Macaca fascicularis: one gene and its partner. The protein of the gene in region 1 purifies or fractionates together with the protein of each later gene. This does not show direct contact. Links are inferred from orthologs where the notes say so. Each region holds a gene or a part of one and is shown on either strand. Other genes may lie near its edges.

Region 1 (3,567 bases):
GGAGGCTCCTGTCTGCACCCCAGGGTTTCCTGAGGAAACTGACGCCCTGCCCAGTGGCCACTGCAGCCCCCATCCTGGTTCCTCCTGGTCCTCACACACGACCCCACAATCCCAGAGCCCCCCACACCCCCTCATGTGGCCACCCCCACCAAGGCCCCACAGCCAAGGATGAAGAAGCTTGCAGGCAGCTGTCGGCCGCTTCCTTCCAGGCTGCCAGGCCGCAGATGGTGGACAACGGCCAGACTCAGTCATAGCCCCCCATTCCCTCTGGTCTTTCTTTCACAGGCCGTGCTCCCCAGCCCCGCCGGTCCCCATCCTTACCATGGAGTTGAGGTTGAGGGGAGACCCCGAAGGTTGTGTGAAAAGGCCAGCGACGGACGGCAGGGCTCGGCGCTTGGGGGACACGCCTGCGCTCAAGCTGGGCGTCCCCGTCGATGCTCGCTTCCGCCGCCCACGCTTGCGGCTGTCCTGCCCGTGGCTCGGCACGCAGTCCCCACGGGAGCTGGCGGTCAGGGGGCTGTGCTTGCTGGAGGGCGACTGTCTGGCACTGCCCGCGCCCGCGGCGATGGTGAACACGATCCTCCTCTTGGCCTCACTCTCAGGATCTGAGAAACCGGAGTCTGAGGGCAAGTCCCCCTTGCTGGCCTCGGGGAGCGGGCCCTGGGCAGCCCCACCAAGCCGGGGGCTGGAGGAGAGCTGGTGGGCGGGAGAGGCCGGGAGCGAGTTCCGGGGCTGTGCCAGCAGCAGGGGGTGCTGTGGTGTGGAGCTGCGGGACCCCACGGTGGCAAAAAGGCTCCCAGAGCTGGAGGACTCATCCAAGGTGGCCGGCTCGGCTCCAGGTGTGAGGGAGGCCGGGCTGCCCGCCAAGGCCCCGCTGATGGCCACCGAGCCAGCATAGGAGAAGCCTGTCAGGAAGGACATGGGGGTGTCAGGGAACACAGGACGGGCTCAGTCCACAGGGGCGGATGCTGGGCCCCACTGCGCCAAAGAAAAAGCCAGGCTGTGGGAGCACCACCCTCCAGGAGCTCTGTGGGCTCCAGGAGAGGCGGGGAAGTGGGCAGCAGGGCTGGAGTCTGAAAACAGCCCCTCTGGGGTGGAACCAGAAGGCTCTGTGGGCAAGCTCAGGGCTCAGGATTGACCCTGTGCCTCATGCCGCCATCTGGGCTGCCTGTGTCCTGCAGGTCCCGGCTGAGATGCTGCCTCCCAAGAAGCCTCCTGGTGCGGGCTCCCCGCTGAGCTGGGCTTCCTCTGAATAAGTTGCTCTCTGGCCCCGTGATCTCAGAGACACCATGAGGAAAGCCCAAGGCTGAGGGGCCTCCCTCCCACCTGTTCTCAGAGGACAACTCAGCTTGAACGCTCCAAGCTATGGCCACCCTGGAGGCTGCGGCCGCACTTCCCAGCCCACGATGAGTGGTGCACTTCCATGACCACCCAAGGACAAAGGGCAGCTTCTCTGCTTCTGCCAATGAGGCCTCAGTGCAGGGGCGCGGTGAGGCGCTTCTGGAGTTGGCTGTTTGCCACCCAGTTGAAAACCTCCCGAAACTGTCACTGCCTCTTGCAAAGCAGACCTCATCCCAAGGGCACAACCCAACCCTGTGAGGGCAGAGCTGCCCAGGCTTCGGCGGCCTCTCCGGGGCCCTCACGTGGCCAACTGTGAAGCCTGCCCAGCCTCCCTAGAGCCTCCTATCTCAAAGGCGGCACTTTACTCGTGTTGTTTTGTTTGTGAGATGGAGTTGTATTCTTTTTGCTCAGGCTGGAGTGCCGTGGCGCGATCTCAGCTCACTGCAACCTCTACCTCCCAGGATCAAGTGATTCTCGTGCCTCAGCCTCCCGAGTGGCTGGGATTACAGAAGCCCGCCACCACACCCGGCTAATTTTTGTACTCTTAGGAGAGACGGGGTTTCACTATGTTGGCCAGGTTGGTCTCGAACTCCTGTCCTCAGGTGATCCACCCTCCTCGGCCTCCCAGGGTGCTGGGGTTACAGGAGTCAGCCACCGCGCCCGGCCATTTTACTTTTTACTCCTAAAGTAGTAGCGGCCACATCACACCACGTGTCAACACGGGCCAGCAAACCAGCCTGGGGTCTGGCGCCCTGCGCTGTTGTAAGTCGAGTGTTACTGGCACACAGCCATGCTTGCCGACATGCCGTCTCTGCGGCTTCCACAACAGACCGGCCTGCAGTGTCGACAAAAGCCAAAGCAGCGTCCTCTCTGGCTCTTTGCAGAAACTGGGCTAACAGCAGTCTGGTCAGGCTTCTGAAGAAACCAGAAACCACGCCGCTACTAGCATGGAGGCCCACGGTCATGTGCCATTGGGCACTGCTGTGTGTGGAACTGATCCTGAGTCAGGCTGTGAGTAGAGGAGCCCCGGACAGCGCTGGGGCCGACCTCACGGGCTGAATTAGTACACCCAAGCACAAGGTGTCAGTGTTGGGAGACGCAGGCACTAGGCCGCGATGGCTGCAGCTGAGCCCGATCCGCAACCCAGCCGGTGGGATGCAGGAAAGGGTGTCAGTAACGAGGCCTGGTGGTTCGGGGCAGCAGCCCCCATGATCACCCCAGGAAGCCGTGTTGCATTCCCAGCACCCCGGCCTCCTGCCTGAAGAGCAGCCGCAGCGAAGTCCTGAAGGCAGGCACAGGAGGGGCGTTACCTGCGGGGGCCAGGGCAAGGCTTCTGCTCCCAGCGCCGTGGGCATTAGCACCAATCTGCTTTTCAAGTGTGGACGAGGGGTCGCGGGGCTGCAGCACAGGACTGGGGGTGCTCCTCTGCAGAGAGAAAACCTCATGTCAGGGGCGAGACCCAGAACCCAATTGGAAATAGTGAGTGTGGAGGGCTGCAGCTGGCTGGGTCACCATCCAGTCCAGGATGGGAAGAGGGCAGTGGGGGAACTGCAGTGGGGCCCCGGGCAGGTGGCGCAGCGAGGGTGGGCAGTGCGTGTGTGTGGATGAGGCAGCGGGCCTAAGGCAGGGAGGTCAGGAGGCGGGAGTCCTGGGGTCCGGCGGTGGGGAGGGGGTACTGGGCACCACTCAAACCACCCACAGCCCACCCTCAACAGGGAAAGTGGCTGTTCTCTGAGTAGCACGGACAAATGTCAGCAGTCGCGTGGGGGCGCTCACAAGACCACACCCGCCGGCCACCACCCCCGCACTTCCCCACACCACACTCCAAGTCCAACAAAGGTCAGTAGTGACCACAGAACCCAAAGAGCAAACCTACATCCACACGGAAACCTGGACCCAGCGCTCACAGCAGAATGATTCACAATCGCCAAAACGGGGAGTCAAGCCGGGGCCCATCAACTGAGCATGATGAAGACGGCACACTCCGCCCACCCAGAGAATGCCCTCACGTGCCAAGAGGAGGGACAGGCCCGGACACGAGTGTGTTCGGGGTCCCGGGGGCTGGGGGACGGCTAGGGAGTGACTGCTGACGGGGGCAACACTTCTGGGGTGAAGAAAATGTCCTGAATTAGACTGAGGTGTATAAAAATACGAAAAAACCGACCGGGCACGGGGGTTCATGCCTGGAATCCCAGCACTGTGGGAGGCCGAGCCAGGTGGATCGAC
Region 2 (3,567 bases), on another chromosome or scaffold:
ATACTGAAAATTAGTTCTGAGGAGGACTACAGAAAACTTATAGTGGGGAATGGTCTGTTTTCTTTATCCATGTAGCCCTCCACCCAATTTGTTAGTCTTGTGTAACCTTTTATTCAAGTGGTTGCTGCTTTTTCTTTTCTTTTTTTCTTTTTTTTTTGAGACGGAGTCTGTCACCCAGACTGGAGTACAGTGGCGCAATCTCGGCTCACTGCAACCTCTGCCTCCCAGGTTGAAGCGATTCTCCTGCCTCAGCCTCCTGAGTAGCTGGAATTACAGACTCAGGCCACCACACCCAGCTAATTTTTGCATTTTTAGTAGAGATGGAGTTTCACCATGTTGGCCAGGCAGGTCTTGAACTCCTGACCTCATGATCTACTTGCCTCGGCCTCCCAAAGTCCTGGGATTACAGGCGTGAGCCACTGCGCCCAGCCTGTGGTTGCTGCTTTTCTTACATGGCTTGGACAGTACTGTTTGCACTGTTGCTGGGGTCAGGGACAGTGATTAAGATAAATTTCTAATTGCAGTCTATACGAGATACTCCAGCCAAAAATGCACAAAAGTCAAATCAGAATGGAAAAGACTCAAAACCATCATCAACACCAAGATCAAAAGTAAGTGGTTACATTTACATATGGGTCTCATTGATATAGTCGGGGAAAAAAGATTCTACTGTTGTGGAAGAATCTAGTGTGTCTGAAATTTCATAGGCCTTTATAGAACCCCTGTAATTGCTGTTTTAAAGTTTAAATCAGCTTGCTGCTGCCGGGCGCAGTGGCTTACTCCTGTAATCCCAGCACTTTGGGAGGGAGGCTAAGGTTGGTGGGATCACCTGAGGTCAGGAGTTTGAGACTAGCCTGGCCAACATCGTGAAACCCCATCCTTACTAAAAACACAAAAATTAGCCAGGCATGGTGGTATGTTCCTGTAATTCCACCTACTCAGGAGGCGGAGGTTGCAGTGATTGTACCACTGCACTCCAGCTTGGGCGAAAGAGTCAGACTCTGCCTCCAAAAAAAAAAAAAAAAATCAGCTTGTTATGTGTTACAGGTACACACAGACAAACATACTAAGTAATGTGCTGCTGGGGTTCCAGTGGCGGGGGGAACCAATAGACTTTTTTGAGAGAGACGGACCCTCGCTTTGTCAGTGAGTCTGGGTTAGAGCTGCATGATCTCGGCTTGCTGCAACTTTCACTTCCCGGGTTCAAGCGATTCTCCTCCCTCAGCTTCTCAAGTAGCTAGGACTACACGTGTGTGCCACCAGGCCCAGCTTATTTTTGTATTTTTGAGTAGAGGTGGGGTTTCACTATATACGTTGGCCAGGCTGGTCTTGAACTCCTGACTGCAGGTGATCTGCCCTCCTGGGCCTCCCAGAGTGCTGAGATTATAGGCGTGAGCCACCACGCCTGGCTTGAATTTTTTATGATTGTGAAGTCAATAGTTGTTTCCTGTAAGGAATCTTTGTTGAAAAGTATACCTGCATAGAGTAGAGATTCTCAACCTTGGCTGCATATTAGATTGAAGTAGAACATTTAGGGCCAGACAGGGTGTGATGGTCTCCTTTCTGGCCTTACCCCCTTCCCTGCAGAAAATGGAATTTAAAGGAGAAAAACTTTAAAAGAACCCAACACTGTGCTCTGCTTATGGAGATTATCATGAAATTGGTCTGGGGTGGGCCCCAGGCATCAGACTGCAATGACTTTCTTGCTTTATTCTCAGGGATCTTCTGATTTCATTTTTTTTTTTTTTTTTTTTTTTTGAGACGGAGTCTCGCTCTGTCGCCCAGGCTGGAGTGCAGTGGCGCGATCTCGGCTCACTGCAAGCTCTACCTCCCGGGTTCACGCCATTCTCCCGCCTCAGCCTCCGAGTAGCTGGGACTACAGGCGCCCGCCACCACGCCCGGCTAATTTTTTGTATTTTTAGTAGAGACGGGGTTTCACCATGTTAGCCAGGATGGTCTCGATCTCCTGACCTCGTGATCCACCCGCCTCGGCCTCCCAAAGTGCTGGGATTACAGGCTTGAGCCACCGCGCCCGGCCTGATTTCATTTTTTGAACTGAGTATTGTGCATTAAAAAGCGAACTCCCAAGTTACTCCTTTTTTTTTTTTTTTTTTTTTTTAAAAAAAAGACGGGTGTCCTACTCTTGCCCAGTTGGGAGTACAGTGGTATGATCATAGCTCTCTCTACAGCCTCCAGCTGCTGGGCTCAAGCAATCTTCCCGCTTTAGCCTCCTGAGTAGCTGGGATTACAGGCATGCACAACCATGCCTAGCTAATCTTACAAGAAAGATTTTTAAGAACAAAATTGTATGGTGTGAATTTATTGATAATTCCAGTTGTATAATTAGCTTTATAAGGGAGTTTTGTAAGACTATTTGAGGAAATCCAGATAGAATGGGTTTTAAATTAGGAGTTGTATTTATTCTTATGACCTTTTGGAAGTTCATTTCCTTTTCAGGGACAAGAATCCTTCAAAAAACAGGAAAAAACTCCTAAAACACCAAAAGGACCTAGTTCTGTAGAAGACATTAAAGCAAAAATGCAAGCAAGTATAGAAAAAGTGAGTAAAGTTATTTTAAAAAAAACTTTCTCCCTGCTCAAATTGCATGTGTCTAGTTTGCGTAGACTTGAATGTTTGTTTTTTTTGTTTTGATTTAATGTACTTGCCCTGTTCGTGGTATGAATTTTTTTAAAAATGAATTATAAAACATTTATAATCGTGTCTGTGGTGATTTGCATATGCAAAATTAAATATGCCTTATTTTCCATTATAAAAGGAATGTAGTGCACTGGTTGCAAGATAACATTCTGACCTTCCATGTTAAAATAGATCAGTGAGAACCCTTGACCTATTCTGGTTGTAAGATATGCTAGAGAACCAACAGAGGGCGTATGAGACTTCATTAAAATTGCAAACAGCTGGAAAAGTAGACTGGTTGGTTGGTATTATAGTTAAATATTCATGATTGACCCTAGTCAGAAGTAATTTTCAGCAGATTGAGACATTTCTGTTTGCCCTTTACACCAAGTTGTCACCAGTTAAATACGTGTAGTAATAGATTTTGTGAATGACTAATAGGTTTAAATCTAGTTTCCTTTTGTCTTAAATAATGGAAATGTGGGAAGACGATTAGGTCTCTTGTCTGAATGACTTGAGTAGGATATGAAATAAATGGTTTAAATGCCTTGGAAGCACATTTGAGAGAAGCTTTAATTCAATGAACAATACTTTTAGACTGCAATTATTGAGAACAAATGTGGGGTGGTAAGGAAAAATTGCCAACTCATTTCCCCATGTTTTTCCTGTGCTCTATAGATTTTTTGTTGGCTTGTGTAGATTTCCTTGTACAGTGATAAGTCCACTGGAAAAAAAATTTTAGAACTGGAACATATTTCTTGTTTTAGTCACACTGGAAACCCTTTAGCCTTCCTGCTTATCAGATTTTTGTCCCTTGGATACAATGCTAAAATGACATATTTTAGATTCCCCTCCCCTCCATTTTAATATGGTCCTATCTCCTTGGTTTAATTGCAGGCGCATTGAACAGCCCTGGGCACTACATGTAAA

What was found. Proteins that work in one complex are often made in the same cells at the same time.
Region 2: the proteins of DOT1L (region 1) and NPM1 purify together in Homo sapiens (affinity purification with mass spectrometry; 3 studies listed by BioGRID and IntAct, with this or other methods). This does not show direct contact. The link is inferred for Macaca fascicularis from reciprocal best matches to the Homo sapiens genes DOT1L and NPM1.

Annotation. Positions count from the first base shown.
Region 1 is NC_088393.1:2,876,557-2,880,123, reverse strand, and holds part of DOT1L (histone-lysine N-methyltransferase, H3 lysine-79 specific), read right to left. Parts: intron 2,767-3,567; coding exon 2,652-2,766; intron 906-2,651; coding exon 322-905; intron 1-321. UniProt on the Homo sapiens protein: Histone methyltransferase. Methylates 'Lys-79' of histone H3. Nucleosomes are preferred as substrate compared to free histones. Binds to DNA.
Region 2 is NC_088380.1:178,197,192-178,200,758, forward strand, and holds part of NPM1 (nucleophosmin), read left to right. Parts: intron 1-524; coding exon 525-611; intron 612-2,441; exon of another isoform or gene 2,442-2,457; coding exon 2,458-2,559; intron 2,560-3,534; exon of another isoform or gene 3,535-3,567. UniProt on the Homo sapiens protein: Involved in diverse cellular processes such as ribosome biogenesis, centrosome duplication, protein chaperoning, histone assembly, cell proliferation, and regulation of tumor suppressors p53/TP53 and ARF.